Mytilus edulis: one gene and its partners. The protein of the gene in region 3 interacts with the protein of the main gene of each other region in a biochemical or structural test. Links are inferred from orthologs where the notes say so. Each region holds a gene or a part of one and is shown on either strand. Other genes may lie near its edges.

Region 1 (7,337 bases), on a different chromosome or scaffold from region 3:
CCGTCGTCGTTAACTTTTACAAAAATCTTCTCCTCTGAAACTGCTGGGCCAAATTAAACCAAACTTGGCCACAATCATCATTGGGGTATCTAGTTTAAAAATGTGTGGCGTGACTCCGCCAACCAACCAAGATGGCCGCCATGGCTAAAAATAGAACATAGGGGTAAAATGCAGTTTTTGGCTTATAACTCAAAAACCAAAGCATTTAGAGCAAATCTGACGGGGTAAAATTGTTTATCAGGTCAAGATCTATCTGCCCTGAAATTTTCAGATAAATCAGACAACCCGTTGTTGGGTTGCTGCCCCAAAATAGGTCATTTTTAGGAAATTTCACCGTTTTTGGTTATTATCTTGAATATAATTATAGATAGAGATAAACTGTAAATAGCAATAATGTTCAGCAAAGTAAGATCTACAAAAAAGTCAACATGACCAAAATGGTCAGTTGACCCCTTAAGGAGTTATTGCCCTTTATAGTCATTTTTTGACAATTTTTCGTGAAGTTTTGTTATCTTGTACAAAAATCTTCTCCTCTGAAACTACCGAGACAAATTTAACCAAACTTGTCCACAATCATCATTAGGGTATCTAGTTTAAAAAATGTGTGGCGTGACCCGGCCAACCAACCAAGATGGCCGCCACAGCTAAAAATAGAACATAGGGGTAAAATGCAGTTTTTGGCTCATGACTCAAAAACCAAAGCATTTAGAGCAAATCTGATAGGAATAAAATTGATTATCAGGTCAAGATCTATCTGCCCTGAAATTTTCAGATGAATCGGACAACCTGTTGTTGGGTTGCTGCCCCTGAATTGGTAATTTTAAGGAAATTTTGCTGTTTTTGGTTATTATCTTGAATATTATTATAGATAGAGATAAACTGTAAACAGCAATAATGTTGAGCAAAGTAAGATTTACAAATAAGTCAACATGATTGAAATGATCAGTTAACCCCTTTAGGAGTTATTGCCCTTTATAGTCAATTTTTAACCATTTTTCGTAAATCTTAGTTATCTTTTACAAAAATCTTCTCCTCTGAAACTACTGGGCCAAGTTCATTATCAGGGGCGGATGCAGGAATTTTCGAAAGGGGGGGGGGTGCTAACCCAGGGAACCCAGGGAACCCAGGGCAAAGGGGGGGGGGGGGGGTTCAAAACATATGTCCCGATACAAATGCATTGATCGGCAAAAATAAGGGGGGGTGCGCACCCCCGGAACCCCCCCTCCCCCTGGATCCGCCACTGATTATAAATAGAGATAATTGTAAGCAGTAAGAATGTTCAGTAAAGTAAGATGTACAAACACATCACCATCACAAAAACACAATTTTGTCATGAATCCATCTGCGTCCTTTGTTTAATACTCACATAGACCAAGGTGAGCGACACAGGCTCTTTAGAGCCTCTAGTTTTTGTTGCTGTGCAAGCAACTGACTCTTTACAGCGGTAGAAACCAGATCATGGCAGTCACTTATCATGACAAGTTAGAAAAATGTATTGCGGCGGGTTATATAATTATTTTTTATCGCCAAAACGACATAAATAAATGAAATAAAGTTAGTCTGCAATCTTTTTTAAAACAAGTTGGATCTTTTGCTAATTGATCTTTATCAAAACTATTCCAGAGATCACATAAAGGTTGACATTTGTCAGAATATAACATGTCAAGGTTAAAATTACCAAGCTCATTATCACATTTAAAAATGATAACATCTTATACAGTAATTAAAAAAAACTATTCGGAAAAAGTATTTGCAGGCGTGCACTAAAGGTTAATACACTACCAACTATTTATTATGATTTAAGTTCACCTCTATTGTCTTACATGTTATCTGCTGGACGGAATATCTGTTGTTTATATGATGGAAAGAAGACCAACGCCGCCGGAATTTCTATTAGTCGTCGATAAAGTTTATACCAATCAGCTTCAAATATAGCCTGGGGTCCTGGCTAATCTTGTCAGTATGACGCGCAGCTAGATTGGGCCGGATCCCAGGCTACTTCAAATAAACTATCATAACACGATATATAAAAAAGAAGATGTGGTATGATTGCCAATTAGACAACTCTCCACAAGCGACCGAATAACACTGAAATTAACAACCATTGGTCACCGTACAGCATTCAACAATGAGCAAGGTCCATACTGCATAGTCAGCTATAAAAGGCTCCGAAATGACTATGTAAAATAATTCAAACGAGAAACTAACGGCCTAATTTATGTACAAAAAATATATAACACATAAACAAACGACATGTACAACCACTGAATTACAGGTTCCTGACTTGGGACAGGCACATACATACATAATGTGGCGGGGTTAAACATGTTAGCGCCGGGGATCCCAATCCTCTTCTAACATGGGACAGTGGTGTAACAGTACAACATAAGAACGAACTATAAAAATCAGTTGAAAAAGGCTTAACTCATCAGATGAATAAAAATACAAATACTACAAATACAAGTTAGCATTACAATGACAATTCCGACCCATATATACCTGGCAGTTCTTTCTCTTGCGAGTACAGCTGTTTCCTGTTATTTACGAGGGTATGAATGCTCCCAGGCTTGTTTTCGGCTACCATTAGCGTCAAATTGGTTACTATTGGCTTTACATTGTATCATAGTTCAAATTATTCGTTCAGTGTTTGTTTTAACCTGTGTTAATTTGTCTTTTTATTGTGTTAGGCCATTTTAATTGATATTTTAGTGTGTCTTCCTATGTTGTGATGTTACACTTTTGTTTCAGATAAAGGTGAAGGTTGGTACCTATTTAAAAGTTTAAACCCGCTGCCTTTGTTTGCATCTGTTCTAAGTCAGGAATTTGATGTTCAGATTATGTCGTTTGTTGATGTGTTAATTTAAACATATTTTATTGTTCAAAATGACATAAGGATCAGACACAAGTTTTACAACTTAGTAGCGTCTTCTCCGAATGATGTGTTTCATAGGAGTTTCTCGTTTCTCGTTTCTCGTTTTTATATATAGATTGGACCATTGATTTTCCCGTTTGAATGGTTTTACACTAGTCATTTTTTGGACCCTTTATAGCTTGCTGTTCGGTGTGAGCCAATGCTCCGTGTTGAAGACAGTACTTTGACCAATAATAATTTCCTTTTACAAATTGTGACTAGGATGGGTAGTTGTCTCATTGGCACCCATACCACATCTCCTTACAACTAATTCAGGTGATATGGGGATCTTCGCCATTTTGGATTGTATATAACGGAGAACCTAAGGTCTAGATTTTCAATCAAATTAGCAAAATTTGGTGAGGAATGCAGATCACTTATAATGTGAATTTTCATTTAAAAGAATAGATTTATAATATTTCAACTGATACATATTTTTTTCAACAACTCGGAAATAGTGTATTTTCTGATAGAACTTTGGCAGGTGTCATCTGACCTTGACCTCATTTTCATGGTTCGGTGGTTATAGTTAAGTTTTTGTGTTTTGGTCTGTTTTCCTCATACTTTATGCAATAGGTCTAATATATTTGTTGTATGGAATGATTGTAAGGTGTACATGTCTAGCGGGCAGATGTCATCTGACCTTGACCTCATTTTCATGGTTCAGTAGTCAAAGTTTAGTTTTTGAGTTTTGGTCCTTTTATCTAATACTATATGCCATAGGTCAACCATATATTTGGTGTATTGAAATATTTTATGATCTTTATTTCAGTTGGGCTTGTTTTATTTGAGCGTGACCTCAATTTCACGGTTCATTGTACAGTGTTACGTTTTTGTGTTTTGGTCTATTTTTCTTAAACTATAAGTAATAGGTTAACTATATTTGTTGTATGGCAGCATTGTTAGCTGTACATGTCTGCCCGGCATGGTCCATCTGACCTTGAACTCATTTTCGTGGTTTATTGGTCTCGTTTAGTTATCTTGGTTAATGTTTAGTTTATGTGACAGTTGTAATAAAGCTTTATACTTAGGTCTATCAACATAATATCAATGATAAGTAAAGAAGGGGAGACATTTCAGTGTGTGCACTCTTGTTTTTATATAAGTTGGTATTTTTTAAACTTTATTTTGAATTAAAAAAAAAAGTTTGCAGGTGGAAAATATAGTATAGATATCAATAAAAAAAATCACACGGCAAGTACACCACTCCTTGAAATTTTCTCTTCCAGACAATATGATGAAATTTTCTCTTTCCAGACATATGATGAAATTTTCTATTTCCAGACATATGAAAATCAGTAATGATAACTGTTTGTTACATTGAAATCGAAAATTCAGAAGTTGAAAACTATTTTTAACTTTTTTTTGTATTCCAAACCGTTCCCGGAGCCGTAGCAATAATTTTTACCCAGATTGGTCAATAAGCCAAGATGGCGGCAAATGTTGAACTTGTAAACAGAGCTTGGACTGTTTTAACAGACACTTTGACACCTGGAGAAAAAAAAGTAGCAATTCTTTTTAGAGTTAAAATATTTGCCATCCTTTTACTTAGGGGTCAATTTACTTTACGGTGTTGGTAAGGTTTCGGGGGTAAGAGCCGGTGTTATCTGGTTTAGATCTGGTTATGGTTGGGGTTTGTTTTCTAAAATATAAATCTGTCTGTATCTGTAGTGGTACGTGTAGAATCCTTTTTAGGCTTTTATACACGGTGGAGAAGAGTGCTGTTGTTATGGGCAGTGTTCTTGTAGAGCGGTCTTAAATGCTTCTACAGAACATGCATGCACAACTTGTTGGTTCCAGTGAATAGTTGTTTCCACAAAAAATTAATGTTTGTACTGTGGTTTGTTGCCGGTAGGTCGTTTCACCACCACACACCGCCAAACACCACTGAACACCCCAAAAGTTTATTATTTTGTCTTTTAACGTTATAAATGTGACTTAAATATAACTTTCAAGTTATTAATTCAACAAATCACAAGATTTAGAGTTCAAATATTAATTGTTTCTTCTTCTTCTATCTCTATAATAGTTGTACCAATAAGGCCAACTAAAATTAATTAGTAGATTTACATCCAGATTTTAAAAAAAAACTGGGGTGGGTGGGAGGATTTTATTTTTTAAATTTTATTTCATACGAAACCCTCTTGTGTCCAGTTATTAATACCGCAGGGCGTATAGGCAAGTGTTAAATAAGCTTATATCATGTACATAATTTTTCAAACTCTTGAATAAATATCTCTGATTGGCAACCACTGTTATACATGTAATTACAGCTTTAGAAACTGGCCTATATATAAACATAAAAAATGTAGAGAAACATGAGAAATGCTCTCTTCAGTTGGACTATACCAACACCAAATTCATTTTGCTTTCTAAGCCATTGTGTGTAGTAGTACAAATGTAGGCAACACATGTATTATGAGTACAGAATAAAATGAAAACTCAAACAGTGTTGAAAGTAATAGGTTTGGTGCTAGAGCAAGATATTGTAAATCATGAACTTAACCAAAAAGAAGTTGTTGTTTAATAAATATATTGAGGGTATTGGGACAGAGGGTGTTTGCTGTTTATCAACAAAAAACGACAGCCATATAAGGTAAATGTAAAGGCTTGCTGTAATGACATGCGTATGATTGTAGACTTTTGTTTTAGCTCAATTACATACGGTCATAAATCTAACAAGTTAGTGCTTATGTCAATTTCTTTAATCCCTTCATGATTTTGTACCAATGTGTTCCATGACTCTTGCCCTTTGGATATGCCCTTTGGATATCATTCACAGTCCAATTTTCTGACACAAAGTAATTGTATAAATAAAAATAAAAACAGTTTTCTAATCATTTGTGACACACTGCCATTTGCGTTCTTAGACACAGCTTTTTACTCGTAATCCGAATATTTCATGCCTTTCTCGTATTCAATCTCTATTCTCGGTAGATAATGATGTCATCATAGAGCAGCAGAATATGCCGACTTAATCATTTGAGATAACTTGAAGGAATACAACACCAAAATTTGAAACAGGAAGTTTGAATGCAACGAAATTATAAATGGTTACCGGTAACGGACATGAAAAAAATTCGGAAATCGTAAATTTTTTAAATAAAAAAAATCGGGGCGGGACGATTTCAGAGGGGCGGCTGGGATGAAAATCTATCAATTAATTTTAATTGGCCTAATAAGAAAAGAGACTTATGTCAAAATCTAACCGAGAACAGAGATCGAAGATACTTCAACTTATTACTTATTATGAATACATTTGAATTTTATCATTTTAATAAAATACACAATGTAATCTGGAAGGTGATGAATCCAGAGACATTTTTCCTTGTATTGATTATCGATTTTAACACAAAAATGATGCCTATAAAAATCTACAAATTGTTTAATTATAAGTGATTAATAATTTGTTTTATCGTTTTATTGTATAATATCACAGTTTCTCATAGTGGTTGGTGGTTTTTGGGGTGTTCGGTGGTGAAAAGACTCACCCGTTTGTTGCTAATTGATACTTTAAGTCCTCTGGTGTTATTGTTTACTTGACGTTCAATAATATTGCCATATGTGTGTGTTAAATATATCATAATGTAATCGTTCTTTACAGCGATATGGTCTAGGATATATGACCCTAAAATTATAGTTTGGTATTCTTTCTATTTAACACATCATACATGTCATAGTTGAATTATGGGGACCCAGGGGTTGTGGGCTCCCTTTATGTACACATACTATGATGTAGCTACAAATTTATTATGACAATGTACATACATTGTAATTTTAATTGTTACCTGTTATACACCTTATCACTTAAGGCTTCATTAAAATTTTGGCATCATAATACAAAATATCTGAAGCCACAATGGAAAAATGGTTGTTACATATGCAAAATATATGTTCAGACTGGCACAGATCTAAAAGTTGTTTAGTTTGCGAGCAATCTGTGGAAAAAAATTCAATGTAAAAAACAATTACATTACTATTTGAAATGAAAAAGTTTTGAGTTGATACAAGGGTGTCATATATATTCAACCTTTATCTTACTTTATTTATTTGAATTTTTCAGACTTCCCAGGCATATATCAGTTCAGAAGTTGAATTCCAGAATGCTGTTGAAATTCTATGCAAGCAAGATTTAGGACACATCATAGAGGAATGGTTTCTGGATACTTTACAAGAAGATTTGCGACAAAAAGTTGGTCCACAGTTCTGGAACTACTTTTCTATACAGCCAAGTGAAACAGACCAACTTCTTGAAGCAGTTGAATATTTACATAAAGTGACAATGGACTATCTCCCCTGTATTCAAAGACTTGAATCCACAACCCAAATAAAACGTTGGAGGAAGTCATCCACCTTATTTAATACATCCTCATTGACAGAAGCTTTCATACTTCTAATGAAATCAACATTGTTTTCCATTTTTCCT
Region 2 (7,517 bases), on a different chromosome or scaffold from region 3:
AAACCGAAAGTAGTAAACGTGATCAATTGTTGATTTGTTTACAACCTCCTTTCAGTCATGATAATCGTTCCAAAAAGGATTTTATACATTTCCAACTTGATAGAAATGATTTTAAATTATTGGCCGAGACGTTTTATAAGGATAATGATTATGCAGTGAAATAATCATTGCAAATTAATTTTTGCTGTGATTCCTTGTTTAAAAAAAATAGAATCCAACTTTTGTTGAGGAATGACCCCCTGGAACAAACTGAAGAGAAATTGTGAACTAAATTTCTGGATTCCATGTCAGAATCTTTCATAATAATGGCCAATACAGTCAAATCATACAATAACTGCCAATCCTGCTGGTGCCTCAATCCCTTAAAAATCTGACTAAGTCAAAAGATGAAGCTAGTAATATACATCATTCGTCCATTGCTTTTACACGAAATAAGGTTGATTTTAATAGCGCGCAAAAGTGACTAAAGCCCTCAAAATCCTAGCTTAAACACTGCATAAGGCATCTGTACATAATGTATGAATCATCCCGTTCATCCATTTTCTGACTGATAAATCTTTACACAAATAGTTTACACCCCTGTTGTATTAGTATCCCTATTTATTCCAATTAGGACATAGATCAGACCATTATCTGTACATGATGTAGGCAGAGAGAAAAATATCAAGACAATTTTTAGTAAGTGATGAAAAGGTTATTGAAATGAGTAACAACATATGTCCTAGCCATTTATTCTAGGATAACAACAGACAGTCTGTGCCTTTAACCAAGCACCATGGCCAACTCTTGTATAAATTGACTCAGGCTAGTGATCATTTAACGAAATTATGTTTACTTATTTAGTGAAAATGTTGGAATTTCTGATTCAGACTAGTAGCTGGAAATGTTAAGATTCTTTGTTGTTTTCATAATACGGTTCTCATGAGGAAAAGCACCAAAGAAGCACACTAAATACAGAAGCTGGATGGGTACAAAATGAAAATTCAGCATGTTCAAAATAAGATTTTGAAGAAAACAGAAAACAAAGATAAAAGTTTTATTTTTTTTCCATTTTGCCACCCAGTCATGACAGTGCTGCAGTGATATAAAGGGCAAAAGTACCTTTACTGGCTTTGATCCCATTGTAAATCCCTATCAACAAAAATAAGATTCAATCATTACATTCTACTTCTTCTTCGGTAGGGGACTAAAAATTTAATTTTTACATGTACCTATCTACTACTATTTTTTCTGAAGTAGGCAGGAAACAAGTAACTTTGTTTTGGCCTAATCAATGAGCTGTAAAGGACATGCAAAGTTAAAAGTGTTCTATATTCTACATGTTGCACTGCAGGAACAGATCCCAACATTTTGCCAGGGAGTTTTAACTCCTGCAACATCATGAAACATTTGAAATGTTCATATTTTAAAAAAAAAAAATGGTAAAAGGGGAGTGGAGTTCCATTCAAGGGAACACCCCTCTTCCCCAATTTGGATTCGCCAATTGCAATGCACTGAAAAACAAAGGCTCCATCTTCAAATGTTTGTAGGCTATCAATTCAATCAAGTAAAATTCACCAAAATCAAGTGTGTTTGCAACTGAATGAACTGTCTTCCAATTTTTAGTTTCAGACTAAGAGATTGTTTTTATATCATGTATATGGTAAATACTGACAATAAGTTAACAACTTCAAAAATGAGGTTCATGCAAGTCAGAGTAAAACTTTTGATGTTGCTGAACTCAAAATTGGTGTATGGAGCTCATGATGCTATTACAAAAATGTATGCATGGTACATTCGACACGAGGGTACACTAGCTTAAAACATTATAATAATTTTTAGTATTCTGTGCACATGCATAAAATCCTATGTAGAAACTAGCTGTCAACCCTTTTAATGATCACTATCAACTTGATACAATGATAGTGTTTTTTAAAAGTGGTCTCTACCTGTAAGATACCTGTAAGATCGTTGTGGGGCTCATATGGAAGGATCCTTTCTTTTTTACTTTAGCCCACCATATTTTGATACACTTTCAAAACTGATACAATCATCAATCCTGCATGATTTGGTGCAATATTTCACACAATTAAAAAGTTATATAGAAAACTATTTGTGTCCTCATCAATTTCTTAACTAATACATGACTGACTCCAAATGACAGTCTATACTAATTTTAAAAGCTTCTCTGAAAGTAAAATATAAAAAAATCTCGCTCACTTTCAGGAAATTATTGATCCATGCATATTTAACGGAAAGCTATTTTTCGTCTTTTGAAATATACTCACTTCTTTTACAGAGTTTGAAGCGGAATTTTCACTATTATTTTCTGTGTTATTTTGTCTCTGTTTCTTGGCAGGAGGACCCTCAGAATCCGTGCAACTGGACATCTGGTAAAACACAAAGAAAATACAACTGCAGAGTAATTTCAAGCATAAATCAAAGATTTTTAATACAATTTGGTCTTTGCTGTAACTGAAATACCTGTCTAAATCTAAATTTAAAGGAAATCTAAAGGAACTAAGATGATTTTGAAGTTGCAGACGAGTTTCAGCGCCACAAAAATGGCGGAGGTTACGGAAGCCTACACGTGCGGAAGAACGATCACTCGGGCCTTTACCTCAGTTAACACCCAAAATAAATTTTTTGACAGGCCAAGTTTCATAATTTTAAAATGACATGATTCCAGAAAGAAAAAAAATGTTACAACTATGTACAATAAAACAGTATGAAGATCATTCTATAAACGAGATTAAATAATAATATATGAACAAACCAACAAGTGGGTTCACAACATGAACATCCGACTTGCATGAGCGGCTTTCTTCAGTTTCGATGATATTTGACAGATTTTCTTCTACCCGATGAATTATAAGTCTTCTATGTTGGATCTTAAATAAATAACAATATGAAAATTGCTATCGAAAAGTCTCGAACAAAGACACTATCAAAAGAAATGAGTCAACGATTACGGTGATTTCCAATAATATTTCTGACATACAAAGTACTTCCTGTTTCTATGTCACTCCCCGGGAATTCTGGGAAATATGCAAATTTGAGGCCAAAGGAGAAAACGAAAGTAAAACAAGGACCTACACGTGTCAACACCCTCAGTCAACACCTCGAATAACATAATTCAAGGTTTTTGCTTCTCAAACAGTTTCAACTTTTCAAAATTTTCATCAAAATCGACCACAGGTTATTGCAATGATTTCATAATTGCGACGGGATAACTTTTTCAAAAATAAAACTGATCATTTTAATTTTATGTAATTTAGCAAGATTCACAAAAACCTAATTATAATAATTATAAATCTACTTGTTTTAATAGATAAGTACAATAAAAATAGATTTAGATTAAAATAAAATTTCCATATTAATATTATCATTTGCTTTACTAAAACAGAAAAAAAACAAGGACAGTAGACTTTAAAATGAGGCAAAGCATGCCCTGGGTGACCCTTTATCTAACTGTGATATACCATATACTGATTTTAAATCTAATATTAGAGAATATGTTTTTAATATTTTGAAAAATGAATGGAGTAAAAAAGATGATAATAAATAACATGAAATTAAAGCTAATTTAGGCAAACCTTTTAATAATTTTATGTGCAGAAAAGATCAGTGTGTTATTTCTAGATGTCGTATTGGTCATACTAGAATAACACACGAGTATCTTTTAAAAAATGAAGATGAACCACAATGTGTATCTTGCAACTGCAAGTATACTATTAAACATGTTTTAATTAATTGTATTGACTATACTGATATTCGTAAGAAGCATTTCAATGTCAATAATATGTATGATTTATTTAATAATGTTCCATTTACAAATATTGTTGCATTTTTCAAAGAAATTGGAATTTATTATAGAATATAAAAATGTTATTATATTTAAGTCGTTTTTAATTTTTATAACGTTATCTTACTGTTGATTTTTATTTGTAAATAATCAATTTGCTTTAGTCTAGAATTTTAGTATATTGAAGGACTTTTTGTCTTATTTTAAAAATATATACTTTAAATTGATACATACTACTCCCCTTTACAGGCAACCAACAATCAATCAACTTTATAATGAGCTTTGTGTAAAATTGGTTCAAAATGTTGGTATACTATATGCCGATATGCGAATAAATCTGGGAATACCAAATTAACTTTATCAGAGACATTTGTATTATATTATATGTCTCTGACTTCTTTCAATTCTTCATGTCTTTATTGCTGGTTGTATACCTCTGTTGGACTAAATCAGAGCAATTTGGCCAAAAGTACCAAAACAAGAGTCGCTGAACTGATTGCTATGCTGAAGTTAAGTCAAGTTATTAGGCGAATTTAAACGGATGCTAACATTGAGTGTTAATTCATCGAGAAGACCGCAAATACATATACAAAAATCTAGACCACCTTTTCTTAAAATTGTAATTAAAATAGAGTAAAAATATCTGAACGGATAACCTTCTCTGTAATTAAATTATCTAATTTTTTTTTATTGTTATCATACGCACACGTCCGTGTCCTTGTCGTTTCTATATCGGAAAGTTCACTCAACAGGAGCAGTGCGGTGTTTGAGACTACATATCAACGCAGTGTTGGTAAAATTATATATAGATATTTCATTTTATCGAAAGTCAATGCCTACGTAGTTATAAACTAAACCAAGATGATTGGGTCTGCACATGATAAACCACATTCAATTCACTGGCGTAGCATATATGTTCTTATTCCAGGGCCGTAACTACCTATGAGGCAACTGCCTCCCCTGAATTTTCTGCACCATTTTTTTTTTAAAGTAATAAAATGAAATATTGACAATATGTACAAGAAAAACTTGAATTTATATCATAAACAACACAAGTTTACAGTTTTAACAGTGTTATCATGATTCATGATAATTATATCTGTCATTGTCTGGATTTTTGATTGATTGTGAACCGTTTCAGTATGTTTTATTTTTATTTTTTCGTGTGGCCGTCCGTCTGTTATTCAGTATTCGTACGAGAACACATATGAAATTTTGCTTTCGACAATTTTGAATAAAACCTTACTATTCACATTTATTTAGGGGCTCAATTAAGCAGAGGAAATTCACTTTGTATTGTGATTCTTTAATGATATCGGAAATTCGTTACCGGCTGAATCAGCTGTTGGATAATTTTTTTAACATCTCCCGATCATACTAGAACATTATGGTCAATGCCTTAGTTACTTAGTTAACACTCCCATTCGTTGTAGCAGGGACTTTCTATACTAAGTATATACTAGTATAGAAAGTCCCTGGTTGTAGTTTATACATGTCTGTCCAGCTTTCAACAATATTGAAATTCAAGGTTCTCGATAAAAAAAAAATATCTTGCGTTCTATGATCTTGCTTTATATGTTTTTTTAACTTACCAGTTTGATTTCTTACAAAAATATCTTTAAATACAGATAATAATTGTTTGCATAAAATTGCTTCAAGGATCCAGCAATACTGATGTTTCTTAAAGTAAGGAAATCGAAGGAAAACGGGTAATTTTTAGCCATTTTAACTGAGAGAGAAAAAAAAATCGGCGGATCTAGGGGGCCTCAATCGGCGGCCCCCAAATCCCTGCCTCCCCTGAATTCGAACCCTAGTTACGGCCCTGTATTCTGATGGTTTAAGTATTATCATCGCTGTCATGTATCTAGGTGTACAACTTTTTTTTTAATGTAAAGCTAAAAGAGTAATACTATATTTATTGGCTACTATATAGTGCCTGCGTTATAAAATATCAATTCCTATAAACTACATATTCGCTAATGTTAAAGTAATCTTTTTGAAAAGCTTAAACTTATGAAAAAAATCGTATCCCATTTATGGTAACAATGTCATAAATAAAATTACATGGGCGCAGCCATTTGTGAAGGGAACATGACATAGAGATAAAAATAGATGGCTTTCTGTGATTGGTTGTTACATCATTTATATATTTTTCTTCTGAAAAGCATTTTGAAGAAAGTTTCATGCAAGCTCAAAATTGACCTCAAATGTATATGATCAGGGCCAGAAATGTTTTTTTATGCTGTTCCAAATTAAGGAAAATTTTTTGCGAAATCGTAAGGTATCGTAAAAAAACAAATCACCATGGGATCATATATATATTTAATTTCAATTAAATCACAAGTAGATATCGACCTCCAATAAGACAACAGATGTTTTTCCATAAAAAGTTTATTCAAAGAGCCATTTGAGGACATAATTGCTAAAAATAGCATTGCCGGCAATTTGGCCAACATTTGGTACTTTATATTCTAAAATCTCCCGGTGCTTGTCCATGGCGTCTTAAACAAAGGGAGATCATCCAATCATTCCACAAATAACTGCTAGTCTTATGAGCTAATAAAAGGGGATTTTGTTCGAAACATTACTTTCATCATTATTTTATGCCAAGTTCATTGATTTATTTATTTTTCAAACTTGAAAATTAACCCCCAAAAAACACGTTCGAAATTTGAAGCCTGCTACAAAAATAAGGTGTACGCAATTTCTTATAAAATAGCCTGTTGCACTTCAAGATAAGGTGTACGCATTCATTTTTTTATAGAAAAGTTATGGATTTAAGCCTCTTTTTTTTTTTGGTATTTTTGTTGTTTTTTTTGTTGTTTTTTTTTTCAGTCGGGAAGGAAAAGGGCTGCAGTTATAATATATGGAAACAGAACTATAGATAAACTAAACTAATGACAACAAATTCAGATTCTTTTTGAAAAATGTGTGTGGCTCTGAAAAGAACCGTTTTTTGAAGAAGTCTGGTGCTTTTCCTCTAGTCATACATCTCAATGTCTGCTGAAGAATCTTCTGAAATAATGTCGACAACTTCACCAAACAGTTCTTGTCTCAGTTCGGCTACGGATTCTGCTTTCTGGTGAGCGTAGTCGTAGTACATGTTGCGCATTCCATCAACAACTGCTATGCGTAGACGTAGCGAGTATCTGAAAGACTTGTTGTTGTCAGTCTTGGCTCTGTTGTACCTCTTTTGAAGTGCGTCTAAAGAGTAGTTCAATTGGACAATCTGTTCACAGGCTCTCTTGAATCGACGTTCGCTCTCAACCAATTTGGTCCTCTTGTTGAGGTTTCTCATTTGTACTTTAGCTTTCATGATTAATAAAGAATATGTAGTAGTTGTTAGCACTATAAGAGTTGAAACAAGTTCTGATGATTCTTTGGAAAGGATTGGTTATATAGCTCTTCTAGTGACACCTGAAATTGAGAAACGTCAGGGTAATGACATCATAGAGTAATTAATTTGAGTTTCTAGTTTAGGCACGAGTCCATTGTCAAAACAGTCTCGTGTCGTGGGCTTGTGTGTATTGTCAAACATCTTTGTCTATTAATCATGATTTATTGTAATCCAATCATGAAGTTGATTAAATCATCTTATAATTTAATAAATATAGTTCGTGTATTGCAATTATTTTTATTTCAACTAAAAAATTATTTCATTTGAAAAATTAATGAAAAATAAACGGAATGAATTATTGCAAGAAAAACGATACACAAAGAAACACGTTTTTTT
Region 3 (7,163 bases):
TTGTCAAGCCAAATATTACAATGTTACATAAAGTTCAAAAAATCACCTTCAAGAGGGATTATCATATAAACACACAATGTTAGTAGTATACTTACCATCTAGATGACATCAAAGTTGGACCAACCATAGGGACAAGGAAGTCAATCAGGATTATAGCCAATCCAATCAAAGAAAAAGTTGTCAAAATGGAGGGTTGAAAATACCAAATCAGGCTGAAAAAACAGAAAGAGTCAATGCATTATACATGTAAAACAACAGATAAAAATTCAATTGTACCCTGATCATGGTGTTTTGATATGGAAAAGTTTGGCATTACCACACATCCAACTAAGGTTCATACTATTTGAAAAACATGAAAGGGGAAACAACTCAATTAACTATTTTTTTTTTTTTAATTTCAAAAAGAATTGTGTGATGGTTTCTGGGCTTTGTGATGTGATGGACCCCAAAATCAGATTTTGTAAGATCTTCTTTATAGAAGCTTGTAAACAGCAAATGCTAATGACTATGATGAGAATATAATAATAAATAAATAGTTGATACAACACAGGTTTGTGTGTACATGTACATACATTTGTTTTGCCTGAATTTTTCAAAAACAATGCTGAATAACTTCATTTTTGGTAAAGACCTCAACCATTGTCAACATTGATAACTTGTATATTTTACCTTTTAGTTATTGTCAAATATTTTTTAATCACAATATGGTTAATGTTTCATGTGAAGGTCAACTCATTTTCTTGTTAAATACTATACCAGAAGTGGAAATGACACTTTGATCTGCCAATGTACAAAACCAAGTCAAACTGAGGGGCAGTAATGGCCCAGTGTTCAAGTTGTTACTACTGTAATCACTAGCCAGTCAACACTTAGGTTGTGAGTTTAAAACCCCAATCATGCAGATTTACTGGAATCAAATATTAATTGATTAAGGATTGTTAGGTGTTTTTTCCCTGGCTTCCTCCACCAATATAAACTGGCAGCCATGAAATAGCCAAAAAAGCGATGCTTATAAGTGGCGATATAACACCAAAAATCAAATCATATCAAACCAAGTCACACTGAATTTACAAACTTACAAGAAGACAAATGTACTGAGACCAACAATAATTGGTGGATGGTATGGCTTTTCCCAGTTAATTAATCCATTTAGAGGCAACAACACTTCTTTCCATCCTTCCAAATCTTTTTTTATTCTTTCCAATCTAGCACTTTTATTCTGCTCCTGAAATAGAAACAAACAAGTTAAATGAGAACCATTAATATAATTGTTGTTTTAACAACCCCTAATTTAATATTTTCAAGTATTTGCAAGTCAAAAAATTGAAATATATGTTTGCCTGTCCCAAGTCAGGAGCCTGTAATTAAGTTGTTGTCTGTTGTTGATGTACATATCATACTATATATACGTATATAAATCAGGAAGTCAGTTGTCTCATTTGAATCTTTTTTCATTTGTAATTTCTGGACCTTTAATATGGGGACGAAGTCCCCTATTACAGTAGAAAATTCAATAAAAAAAAAAATCGGGAAAATTTCCCGAATTTTTCATTGTACTAATGAACTCAAAATCGTTCAATTTTTTTTTGTCGCGTTTTTTTAATTTCCGGATCTGCGCAGAACACATAACTCTACTTCCTTCTTCCGGTCTTGTTGTTGTGAGACTTTGATTAGTCTAGTAAAATATAGGAACTCAAGGAACACAATACTAAATATATATTTCATTTTTAATCATTCTTTGTCTTTGGACGGGTATGAATAAACGTTACCTGATGCATTGCGTTTCTTTGTTTACATTGAACATGACGTCATAACTTAAATAACGTCACAAGTAAAATCCCTAACAACAGAACCAAAATCGGAAACGTTACGGTATTTCCGTTTCTTTTTTTAACAAATATTTTAAAAGTTACAAAAATTAATTTAAATAAACTTCGTCCCCATTCACAGGTACATGTAATGCCTGCCTCATATTAGCTGGCTATGTGATATGTGTTTTGCTCATTATTATAGTCCATACAGTGACCTACCAAGTCATTTGGTCTCTGGTGGCAGTTGTGTCATTGCCAATTATACCACATTTTTTTATTTTTATATAATTTGCAATAATAAATGAGTTAACACATTTTTCATGTTTACAGTAAGGTTAAAAATTGTATCTATTGAAAGACCCTAGAGGCTTGTGAATACATGTAGGCAGTATTTGAATATTAATATAACATCCAATTGAAATTTCTCTTGTCCATTAAATTGTACTTTAATGAATAGAGACTAGTATATTAAGACTTACTAAAAAGACAAACATTTTTACTTTAATTACAATAAGTAGCTTTTTTATATTAAATATATATTTTTTACAGTAAACAAAGAGGTACACGAAAAATCTTTTTATTTAAGAATTGAATGTTTCTTTTTGTAACTTCATTGGGGTGTAAAATGTCCTATAATATATGCCTTCGCATTATATATTCACTATTTAACGTTTTCATGCTGATATTTTCATTTATTATTTTTGGTGTAAAAGTGTTGACAGAAGAACATTTTGTATGAGGCGTGGAAGCCTACAGATTGCACGAAAGCAATAGTACATGTACATGTATCCAAAAAATCACCCCTCTTGTGAAATGTGAAAAGTGGGGCGTTTAGGTGGGTACAAGTCAAATCGGCACCTGGTCAAATCGGCACCCATAGAAAAAGTCAAATCGGCACCTATTTAAAGTCAATTCGGCATCCAATAATATTTGATATAATATATGGGACTGGGACCATTATGCTAAGATAGTAATTTAAGTATACTAGCATAATAGTCGCAAATATATATAGATATTTCTAAAAATGTATAAATTCGATCATGATTTATTTTGTTAAAAAGCATCAAGCTGTAAAAATACAAAAGTTGATCATTTAAAGTTTTCTCAACATTATGTGACTGATGTTTTCATGGTTTTGATAAATTTTCTTTTCAATTAATAAATAACTTTAATCAAGTACATAGTGAAAACACAATGTAACACCAGCTTTTGTTTCGCATATTTCTGTCATATTTTCACAACTATATGATATAATCTAATAGCGAGAATTAATACACAAACATAATTAGACCACAAAAAGACTTTTTATGGATATATGTCATATGTGGTATCAGGAGAAATTAAAATTCGAATGTAAACTATTCAGGTATCCTCATTTCCATTGTGAGGACAAGGATAATAGCATGAAATGTTAGGTTAAAGTATATAAATTTGAATTTAAAGATTGAACTAGAACATTTTTAAAGATAAACTTGTATCACCTGGTGTAAGAAAATGTGTGTCAAAAAACTTATAACTTGTACAAAAACCCTGTACAAATTATAAATTGTACAAAGTTATATTTTGTACACATCATATATTAAACAAATTTAACATGGGTGCCGAATTGACTACATCAAGTGCCGATTTAACCAGGTGCCAATTTGACTAGGTGCCGATTTGACTATACTGGGTGCCGATTTGACCAAGTGCCGATTTAACCAGGTGCCGATTTGACTAGAATTCGTTTAGGTTGGGGGGGGGGCTTAGTCATGGATTCTAATGGTCCTTGTTTATCTTTGTCTAAAAATTGACATGAAGACAGTTACCTATACATTATGGACAAAAAGTACCCATTCAGTTATTTTAAACATGCTGAAAGGCATTCACAATTTTGAAGATAACTTGTACTGCAAAAATGAAAGTGGTATAAAACAGCAATAATCTGAAGTTAGTTTTCTGCAACCAGTCACAGAGCATTATGCAAATCTTATATATTATCGATTTAACTGTGCTCCCTATTTTTTATCAGTGTTTCCTATAACAATTAGCATGGTAAGTGCACTTCTTTACCATTTCGTTTCCCATATCATTAAATTCCGCCATCTCAGATTTGTTTATAATGAGCATTGCATTCGGAGGACGTTGACTCACAAGGTGTTCCGTATAAAACTTATTGTTCTCTAGACTTATCCATCTCAAATTTTTAATAATAATTTTTCTGTTTTTTAAATAAGAAAATGATATTTCATTAAGCAACAATATTGTCTTTATTTCTATCTGTTTTGTTATTATTTTATCGTACCACTAATTTTCTCAAAATTTGAATTAAATTCAAACTACATCTCGTGTAAACGAGACTTCATATTTTAATTCGAAATTGGGTCAAGCAAAATTCTGACGTTTTGAATTATTCTGAAAGGATATTCGCATTATACAGAAATATCTTAACTTATTTTGGACAGAATAACTCAAAAATAATGTCGAACGTAAGTGGTATATGCTGCAATCCAATTTTCTCACAGTTTAATTCAAGGAATTCGACATATTTTTACAAGAATGGATTTGTTTTCATCCAAACTGATTCACAAAAAAAAAATACACAGATTTTTCGTTGATCTTCCAAGAAATAATTTTTATCTTATTCTGAACTCATTATCTAGGTTTCTAGTTAAAAGAGAGGAAATAATACCATGACAAGAGTAAAAACGTTATATTGCGTAATTGCAAGTAAAAGGGGAAGCGACAGTGAAACAAATGTACCACCCCCCTTTTTAGTTACAAACATAGCCTAGGGCATGTAGAGGTAGGTTCGAGACGGGTACTGTCGCAAGACCACTGGATACCTAGTATCTACACCACATGTCTCTATTTCCAGTCATTTTAGTTTTATATTCCTCATTAATCAGTTAATTGTTAGGTTTATCAACATGTAACTTTTATTGTAACTTATTTTTAAAGTCTCTTAGACTTTACAAGTTACATTCTTAGGGTAAAGGGTCTGTTCGCTCCCGAAGCCATAGGCAAAAAACACATTCACATGCTACATTTATTCACATCACATGTTGGGTCTGTTCTCTCCCAAAGGCAAAACAAATTCATACCCTCCTGTATACCTAACATGTTACCACCCTTTTCTATTCAAATACCTGTAGACTAAAGAGATGTTTTTCAGACATATTCATAAATACATATTAACAATTAAACATAAAGCTTAAATAGTTCACAATTCAAAAATTTATAAATAAAAAGACCAGATATTAAGGGACAGCTGCTAATTAATGCACTGCTGGAATTAAGAAAAATATTAAGGCGCTGCAGGACCACAGCGTCATATCGGCATGAGGAGAACACTATAAGTATACCCTGTGTTGAACAGGTTGGGGACAACCCACCAAATGGGGAACTATTTCCCAAATGAGTAACACTCCCTCATTTGAGTAATCATTTGGTAGTGCTAAAAAACAAAATTTTCTTATTAATAACTGATTCTTTTTTCTTTAAATGGCACATATTCAGGAAAAATGCATCAACTTTTCCAAAAGATGATTATCCTTATCTTGAATTACTGGGAAGATACAAGCCTATGAAAAATCAGAAAATTTAACTTTTCAAGGCTTTTAACTTTTTAAAAACCCATAACAGAAATATAATTCTTTGGGAGAAGTTGTTCCATTTTCTATAAATTTGTGCCATTTTACCTTTTAAAAACATGTTAAAAAAGACCCATTTTTAGAAAATTTATTTTTCTGCACTATGAAATGATAACTCAAATGAGGGATTGTTACTCATTTGGGAAATAGTTCCCCATTTGGTGGGTTGTCCCCAACCTGTTGAAGGCCCTACCTTGACCTACATTTGTATAATGGTTTACTTTTATAAATTGTTACTTGGATGGAGAGTTGTCTCATTTGCACTCATACCACATCTTCCTATATCTATAAATATATATAGTTTTATCATTATGTTTAGTAGTCAATACAGTAGTTTTGAATATTTGATAAATAGCCTGCTGTCCTGCTGTTTAATCCATATCGCGCAACTTTGATGCGCACCCTTTATCGCATACCCTTTATCAATGTTTATCACACCCTTACCTTTTATCGCATACCCTTTATCACACCCCTACTTTTTTTCTTTTTTTCTACATAGTCAGTTTTTATTTTTGTAAGCTTAAGAAAAAAATTTCCTCAAAATAGGTACGGTCATTTGGCGTAACAATTTATTGAATGACGTCATTGTTCGGTATGTACATGTGACGTCACAAACGTCAAGTTTTCATATTTTTTGTCACACTAAATGCAACTATAAAAAATACAATGATTATTATAATAAACAAAATATTTTTAAATTATAAGGTAACCAAGGTGCTTTGGATAAGTAATTGAGCAGTTCTTTTAAGGCTTTTTAAACAAGACAAAAGTAGAACTGAAGGAAGCCTAAAGGCCTTTGGGCTGATATTGGTGTCTCGGGATGATACGACATATGATACGGATTTTTCCATGTATTATTCTCTATGTTACTTGGATGGAGAGTTGTCTCATTTCTTCTTTTAATACAGAGTCTGACTCTTCTTGAGTGTATAATGACTCTTGCTCGTAAAATCATGAGGCCTTCCCTCCTCAATTATTAAAACCAGCAGTAATTATTTACAGTAATTATTATTTACAAATTAAAACTATAAACATCTGGGATCTACAGAGTTCTAGGTGTGAGAAGCTCCTGTCAAGGCCTCTGGCAGGATGGTAAGGCTGACCTTGAACTCTTCTAATGTAGTGTGTTCCATTCCCTGGTTGGTGTTGGGAAGGAGTACCTGTACTGGTGTTTTAGAGTACATGTATGCTGTTGGTTTATGCGCTGGCCTCCTCTGATCTGTAAATCTCTGGGTTTGTATAAGTTTAAGGGGTCAATATCTACCAATCTATTGGTGATTTTGTAGGCCATGGTGAGGCGGTCTTCCCCTGAGGCACCCCTGAGGGGGTTGGATTTATGACCTTCGAGTAATACAGATTGTGTTTTCTTGCTTAGGAAAAGTTAGGAAGTCTTGTATCCACCTGAGTGTTACTCTACGTATTCTGTAGTAGTCAATTTTTTGGAGGAGTCTCTTGTGGGGCACTGTGTCATTGGCTTTGGAGAAATTAAGCAGGATGATTGGGAGTAGAATTAATGAACATGTACATTGTACATGTAGCCCAAACATATACTTTTGTGTATAATGAAATTTTGATGATATTTTCCCTTTATCATGTTTATACATGTTATAGGACAATGTAGGACATGTAGGAATGTTCAAGTTGTCAATTTTAAAATTCTTAATTATATAAATGTACATTGGGTGTGCTCATTGTTGAAGGCTGTACAGTTACATACAAT
Region 4 (7,905 bases), on a different chromosome or scaffold from region 3:
CGTTGTAGGCAAGGTACGGCCTTCAACAGGGAGCCATGCGGTCCATATTACATCACTGTAGGCCCAACCATGTCTAATATGTGTAGAACCCAAAACTGTATCATTTTGGATTCCATTTTCATAATTGTCAATCATCTCAATATTTTAATCAGAGTACTTGTAAGCATTGAAGGGTAAAGATAGCTTTAATGGTTGTCCAATTAGTTATAATTATGGAAAAAGAAGATAACTCCAACTTTAATGATTAGAACAGATATAACATGTAGAGAATGCCATTCTGTCCTATTTTGATTTAAATCCAGTCTAAACAAAAATACCCCTCTATAGAGAGATAATTGTACCCTCTATAGAAGGATTATCCCTCTATACAGGTATAATCACCATATAGAGGGTTTGTTCCCAACAAATCCGGGTCCGTTCGCGCCCATTCACGTTCACACCTACTCATGTTTGCACCCTACATGTTCGCACCCAAAGTCTGTTCGCACCCTACATGTTCGCGCCCAATTTTAACTGGTTTTGTGTTCAATAACTATAGCTTTGTAATCAAGTTTTGGCAAGTGTATTCTTATATTTGTTGTCATTGTCTCAAAATAAAGTGAGACAGCATTTTTTTTTTGTGTTGAATAAATCTTAATCATGTTTTGGATAGTGTACATGTATTGTTAAAAAAAAAATCCTTTCTAAATAAAGTGGGATTCTGTCAACGTTTTATTTTGTGTTGAATAACTCTTCATCATGTTTTGGTTAGTGTATTGCTATAACTTTGTTCCATTGACTTGTTTCAAAATAAAGTTAAATTCTGACTACGTTTTGTTTGTGTGTTGAATAAATTTTATCATGTTTGGTTATAATAGTGTATTGCTATATCGTCTTGGTACCTGTTTTGACGCGGACCAGAAATGACGCACCAATTTAGTTTTGGGTTTTATATTTCTAAACAAAAGAAGTGACGTCATCGATAATTACTATTCATAACATGATGGTGAAGGTCATATGACTACAACATAGATGCCTCAAACTCTGTCCAGAAATGTTATTATTGCTTGAATTAGTAAAGATAATGCAATTTCTGCCATTTTATTAAGGTCAAAAACAGTCTACCCTTCCCAGAATGATTATCAGTCCTAAATCCACTTTGGCCGGCAAAAGTATGTATGCACATGCTGCCCCAGTTTGTGTTTTTCAAATCATATGACTGTCATGTGACATGGTTTTACATTTAAGCGGGAATCACTGTAGAACAAATGATCGTCGCTTATATAATTTTCTATTGTTTATCGATTTTTTTCATTCATTGTACGAAGTATACATTGATAAATGTTTTAATGTCAATGTTGTTTTATGAATGCAATTACTTCTTATTTTCAAGTATATGGAATATATATGTCACTTTGATAAATTTTGAACAATTTTATATAAAATTTGAAATAAAATATAGGTTACAATTAAATTAATGAAAAAAATTGTGTTGCTATCAACATGATCATAAAAGTGACTGTAAATGTCAAAATTTGTTATTAAAATTAAATTTGTTGAATAGTGTTAACTTTAAATTATCCGGATTGAAGCAATTTTTCGAACATCAGGTACACTGCAAGTGGTTTTTACTGGTTTGTTTATAGTGCGTCATTACTGGTACCCATCATAAGTTGACAGTCCGTTTGTAATGTTAGCAAACATGATTTTTATTGCTTTTACTGTTTCAAAAATCAACTGTTTAATGATTGAAATACATTAACAAGTGATCAATCTTTCATTCTATTCCGTGTTTCTTTTTCTTTTAAATGGTAGATTAAATGCAGAGACAAACACAACGTTAGGTGCGTCATTACTGGTTCCTCGGGGATATTTTATTGTTTCAGATCAAAGGCACCAAGCTGTTAAAAACAATTATCTTTTGTGTTTTTCATTTAAAATCTTGAATGTTTTACTTACAACAAAGCAATTTATAACAACAATCATGATTTTCCAATTATTCACCTGGAATTTGAATTAAAATTCGGCGAGAACGTGTAGAGTGCGAACGGACCTTGGATGCGAACGTGTAGGGTGCGAAAGTGTATTGGGCGCAAACGAACCTGATACCGTTCCCAACCTGTTTATTCTTGATACCATAGTGATTAGTCCAGTAATCCCCTTTCCCCCCTAACAATATGTGAATATGGTTTGTTGAAGATTCTATCTGGTCGAAAATATCCGGCTGTGTTCAAAGTGTAATGTACTATGTATGTATGTACTGGTAAATGCCTCCGATATCCGAAGAACCCCTCGAAAGCTGCGAGGGTACAGTGGCATCCATGTACACTCCCTAACGGGATTAATGGAGATGTGTCACTAACGTATATTTATACGACAATTATTTTTACAAGGACAACCAATCCCCACCCAATTCAACACAAAGGGAGTGCTAGGACACCGGGAAGTCTGTTATTGTGGTGGAGGAAGCCGAAGTACTCGGAGAGAACCACCGGGCCACTCGGTGGAAACAGACAAACCAGAGAGATATCAGAAGATTGATCTCCAGGTCAAAGTAGGGACACTTTGACCAACCGAGGCCCCCAACGTACCCATTCTAGTTTAAACTCCGGTCTGGGTACCAGAGATGTGTGTGAGAGGGTGAAAATTACCCTTCTAATGTACTGAGATTTTTAGCACCCCGAGTGAGAATCGAACTCGGGACCTTCAGCACTGTAGCCATCGGTCTTAACCACTAGACCACGAACTCACACTTATATTTAAAAGAATTAGATTCAATAATTTTTGTTGTTGTTGTGTCATATCAAAATATTGCGACTTTTCTGTCAGATATATGTATCCTACCCATGACTTGGACACGACAAATTGCACAAGTATCACACTCAACATCCCAGCTCCACATAGCAACTAAATTCCATTTCTTAAGAGTGAACATTTTCTCTGGTTTCTTAGCAGTTTCGCGATCTACTTCCATTTCATCGGACATTTTATATTTTCTGTAAAGTGTTGATTTCACGTTTTTTCTCGCAAAAAATAAAAATGGATTTTCATATGAAACACATGGAAAACAAACATATCATCTTGCATATTTATCCATGCTACTAATCATGGCAAACGATATAAACCTAAATCCAGGTCCAGACACAACATTATTTCTATGTGGAACATGTGACGAACCTGTTACATGGGAAGACAAAGGTATCATGTGTGATACTTGTAACCAGTGGTACCATACCACCTGTCAATCAGTCAGCTCTCGAACATACAACATCTTAGTAGAGGACAGTGCAATAGCTTGGGACTGCCTTATCTGTGACTGTCCTAATTACAGCTCAGTTTGCTTTGACATAGTATTATCCACTTCAAATTCATTTAGCATTTTATCAGATACATCTCTCCAGAGTCCACTTCCATCTGACTGTATCAAACCTATTCACGCATCAACACCAGACAGAAAGAAGCAGGATAAAAGTCCAAAAAGTGTACCTATTAAGATGCTTACAGTAAATTTTCAGTCCATCAAATCAAAGCAAGGACTAATTAAGAACTTAGTTGAAAGCACCAAACCAGATATTGTCCTAGGAACAGAAACCTGGATAGATTCATCTGTAAAAGATAACCAGATTTTTCCACCAAATTATAACATCTACAGAAATGACCGCAACATGAAAGGAGGCGGGGTGCTAATAGCAATAAATCATGACCATCTAAGCACACCTGTACCTGAGCTACACACAAACTGCGAGATTGTTTGGGCTAAAATCAGTCTAGCTGGTAGTAAAGACTTGTATCTTGCATCCTACTACAACCCTAAAACATCAAATGAGGAAAGCATTGAAGAACTTGGGCGAAGTCTTGAAAAAGTAAACGCTACAAAGAATGCCTTTATAATTGTTGGTGGCGACTTTAACCTCCCTGGCTGGAACTGGATAACAAGAACCCTGAAACCAGAATCAACATGTCAGAAAAACCACTACAAGTTTGGCGACATTCTTGACGACAATGGACTTGTTCAACTAGTGGAGGAACCAACAAGAGGCCCTAACACGCTAGACCTAGTGATTACGAACAATCCAACACGCTTCACACGCACCAAAGTTATACCTGGGGTTTCAGACCACGACATTGTCTTCAGCGAAATAGACACCAAGCCTTTAACTAGAAAACAAAAACCACGGAACATCCCCTTATACAGGAAGGCAAACTGGGAAACCATCAAAGAGGAAATGATCCAAACCCACGAAAAGATCAGAAATCTAGCCTCAAATGGAAGTTCAGCGGAAGAACTCTGGTTATTATTCAAAACCCAGGTCAACCAAAGTGTAATAAACCATATCCCGCACAAGATAGCAAAACAGAAAGATAGCCTTCCTTGGCTAACACCAAATGTACGTAAACTAATACGCCGCCGTGACAGACTATACAAAAGAAAGAAAAAGTCAGTGGATCCTAAGATAACATCCAAATTCAAAGAAGCCAGGCAAAAAGTACAGAAAGAACTACGTCGTGCATATTGGAAGTATATAGAAAACATAGTAACACCTCAAGAAGAAACCCAACAACACAGCAATATGAAACGCTTCTGGACTTATATTAAACATATGAAGACTGATAGCAGCGGCGTGGCACCACTACGTAGTGACGGAGTACTACACTCGCATCCTGTGGACCAAGCTACAATTCTGAATAAGCAGTTTCAGTCTGCATTCTCCTCCAAGGAAACATATAGTCCAGAAAAATTCAAATCTCGCTGTAACATGCCAGGTCAATACCCTTCTGCTGAGGATCTAATTATTACAGAAAATGGAGTACTGAAACTACTTACAAAAATAAATCCAAATAAAGCTTCAGGACCAGACAATCTAAAACCAAGAATACTAAAAGAACTTGCAACTGAGATAGCCCCAATTCTAACTATCATCTTTACAACATCACTTAATACTGGGGAAGTACCATCTGACTGGAAGAACGCCAACGTAAGTCCAGTCTTCAAGAAAGGAGAGAGATACAAGGCAGAGAATTATCGACCAATATCTCTGACATGCATCTGCTGTAAACTCATGGAACACATAATAACTAGTCATATTATGAAACATGCAGATCTCCACAACATTCTATATCCATTACAACACGGATTTCGTAGCAAAAGATCATGCGAAACCCAGCTGATTGAATTTGTGGATGATATCACCAACAACATGAGCGCAGGTAAGCAAACAGATGTACTCATTATGGACTTTTCAAAAGCTTTTGATAAGGTTGGTCACAGTCTCCTGATGCATAAGCTGGAACACTATGGTATCCGAGGAAATGTGAATAAGTGGATTGCTAGCTTCCTGTCTAATCGAACCCAAGCAGTAGTTGTGGATGGAGAAAGTTCATCTCATATTGATGTAGAGTCAGGAGTACCCCAAGGATCAGTACTTGGGCCTTCACTATTCCTGTTCTACATTAACGACATGCCAGATGGAATTAAATCTACAGTCCGACTATTCGCAGATGACACAATAGCATACCTCACGATATCATCAGACAAAGATGCACACGATTTACAGCTAGATCTGGATAAACTCGGAATATGGGAATCAAAATGGAAAATGTCATTCCACCCTGACAAATGCAATGTACTTACCATCAGCAGGAAAAACAAAACAATTGCAACATCATACAGCCTACATGGTCAAATTCTTGAGTCAGTCAGTAGTGCAAAATACCTAGGCTGCACATTTACATCCGATCTCAGATGGAATGAGCATGTTAATAACATATGTAACAAGGCAAATCGAACAATTGGTTTCCTAAAAAGAAACTTAAATATAGGATCAACTACAGTGAAGGAGAATGCATATAAAACATTAGTACGTCCAATTGTAGAATATGCCAGTCCGGTATGGGATCCATATCTTAAGACAGAGACAGACAGACTTGAAATGGTACAAAGAAGAGGAGCTCGCTACGTATCCAACAAACATCATAACCACTCCAGCGTTAATCTGATGCTACAACATCTCAAATGGACATCACTTGATCAAAGAAGGAAAGAAGCGAGACTCACAATGCTATTCAAAATAGAAAACAACAAAGTGGCCATATCAAAGGAAGGTCGTCTAATACCACCGAAAAGACTGTCACGAAACATGCATGACAAATCCTTCCAAGTACCAGCAGCATCCTGTGACTATAGAAAACATTCATTCTTCCCAAGAACCATCCGGGATTGGAACGCTCTTCCCCCTGGGGTCGTATCAGCTCCGTCAGTCGAGGCCTTCAAAGCCTCTATGACAAAGCTGAATTAAATTTCAAAATTTTTGGGGGGAGGGGGGTGGTCTAATATGCGCACCAAACCATGGCAGTATAATCAGTTCGTTGATTGTGGCCATTATCTGGCAGAAGCAGAGAAGCAGAAGCAGAATCTGTATCTGTAAATGTATTTTATAACTTCTGCCACTCTAGGCACACCTCCACAGTCGGTGTATTCAATAAATCTCCACCAGTACAATAATACCATAATCGAGTAAAGTTAAATTCGCTAAATATTCACTTTTCTTTCACCTCCATCAATATATATTTAATTAAGTGCCAGTCTTTGTAAGAATCAGGCAATTTAGGTAAAAATTAAAACATGATCAGAAAAAACCCACCGAGCTAATCATGCTATTTAAGTGCCAGTCTTTGTAAGAATTAGGCAATTTAGGTAAAAATTAAAACATGATTAGAAAAAACCCACCGAGCTAATCATGCTAATTAATATTAACCTTTATCCTGAGTTAAAAAGTATTAGTCTTTCGTTTGTGTTTGTCTGGTAATATGGTGATACGGTAATAACTTGGTTAGAAAATTGGTTAGAATGATAGCTGTCATTAGCCAAAAATACAGCTGATCCTGCGGTATACATTTTAAGTGGATCTCTACCTATGGAGGCTAACTACATCTCTATACGGAAATATTACAAGAGCAGATAGATCTACCATTGAATGGAGACTAGCAGAAAGACAACTACATTTAAAGACAAACCAAAGTAATAGCTGGTTCATCCAAATCAAGAAAATATGTTTGAAATATGACATTTTGGACTGTCAGGATTTTTTAAATAACCCTTTAGGAAAATTGCAATGGAAAAGTTTAATCACCAAAAAAATACATACCTATTGGAATGACAAAATTAATAAAGAATCAGAGAAATACTCCAGCTTAAAATACATATCTGGTGAATATATGGCAAAAAGAATACATCCAATTCTTACAACAAATACATCAAATTGTAGAGACATAATCAAATTACCCATTAGGACCAGATTTGCAACTGGCAATTACATCTTACAGACAAATAGAGCAAAATTTAATCAAAATGATGTTTCTGCCGTCTGCAGAGTTTGCGGTAAAGAGGATGAAACCATTTCACATTTTCTGATTTCATGTACACCTTTAGAAGCTGAAAGAATGTCTCTCTTGAAATCTCTCCGAGAACAATATATCAAAGTGCTAGAACTACTAAACATTAATATGCATGATATAGATGTTGTTATGATATTGTAATTATTATGTTTATTTATGTTGGCCTAATTTGTGTTGTATGGCCTGATAGTTGTTTACCAAATAATCTTATAACTGTGCAGTTTAGGAATCACTGGAACAATCACAGAATGATTGGAACTTTCTAGAATGATCCTTATAAAAGATGCGTAATTTAAACTTCTACGTTATTCCAGAAACTTCCGTTGTAACTTTCCAGGATTTTCCACAATGTTCCATTATAGAGTGTTCTAGAATTTTCCATGACAACACTATATATACAGACACTAAAGTTAAACTCTCATAATTAAAACTTGGACATAGACATTGATAGTCATTAGTATTCACAGCATTTGGATTGACACTTTTATTCTACAAACAACATCATACTGGATTGTGACATTAGTAGTGAAC

The links.
Region 1: the proteins of ubiquitin-conjugating enzyme E2 S-like (region 3) and anaphase-promoting complex subunit 2-like form a complex in vitro, tested with the Homo sapiens proteins (3 studies listed by BioGRID and IntAct). The link is inferred for Mytilus edulis from reciprocal best matches to the Homo sapiens genes UBE2S and ANAPC2.
Region 2: of the proteins of ubiquitin-conjugating enzyme E2 S-like (region 3) and ubiquitin-like modifier-activating enzyme 1, one has a biochemical effect on the other in vitro, tested with the Homo sapiens proteins (8 studies listed by BioGRID, with this or other methods). The link is inferred for Mytilus edulis from reciprocal best matches to the Homo sapiens genes UBE2S and UBA1.
Region 4: the proteins of ubiquitin-conjugating enzyme E2 S-like (region 3) and RING-box protein 2-like form a complex in vitro, tested with the Homo sapiens proteins (3 studies listed by BioGRID). The link is inferred for Mytilus edulis from reciprocal best matches to the Homo sapiens genes UBE2S and RNF7.

Annotation. Positions count from the first base shown.
Region 1 is NC_092345.1:6,933,862-6,941,198, forward strand, and holds the start of anaphase-promoting complex subunit 2-like, read left to right. Parts: upstream 1-4,312; 5' UTR 4,313-4,341; coding exon 4,342-4,416; intron 4,417-4,546; exon of another isoform or gene 4,547-4,584; intron 4,585-6,974; coding exon 6,975-7,337. UniProt on the Homo sapiens protein: Together with the RING-H2 protein ANAPC11, constitutes the catalytic component of the anaphase promoting complex/cyclosome (APC/C), a cell cycle-regulated E3 ubiquitin ligase that controls progression through mitosis and the G1 phase of the cell cycle.
Region 2 is NC_092344.1:46,512,420-46,519,936, reverse strand, and holds the start of ubiquitin-like modifier-activating enzyme 1, read right to left. Parts: upstream 3,020-7,517; 5' UTR 2,756-3,019; intron 2,589-2,755; exon of another isoform or gene 2,464-2,588; intron 2,370-2,463; coding exon 2,268-2,369; intron 1,132-2,267; coding exon 1,102-1,131; intron 1-1,101. UniProt on the Homo sapiens protein: Catalyzes the first step in ubiquitin conjugation to mark cellular proteins for degradation through the ubiquitin-proteasome system.
Region 3 is NC_092352.1:76,826,616-76,833,778, reverse strand, and holds the start of ubiquitin-conjugating enzyme E2 S-like, read left to right. Parts: upstream 1-4,146; 5' UTR 4,147-4,270; coding exon 4,271-4,279; intron 4,280-7,163. Other genes in the region: ADP-ribosylation factor-like protein 6-interacting protein 1, read right to left, coding at 96-212, 1,080-1,225, 3,864-3,920. UniProt on the Homo sapiens protein: Accepts ubiquitin from the E1 complex and catalyzes its covalent attachment to other proteins. Catalyzes 'Lys-11'-linked polyubiquitination.
Region 4 is NC_092346.1:93,273,775-93,281,679, forward strand, and holds the start of RING-box protein 2-like, read right to left. Parts: upstream 3,004-7,905; 5' UTR 2,966-3,003; coding exon 2,824-2,965; intron 1-2,823. UniProt on the Homo sapiens protein: Catalytic component of multiple cullin-5-RING E3 ubiquitin-protein ligase complexes (ECS complexes), which mediate the ubiquitination and subsequent proteasomal degradation of target proteins.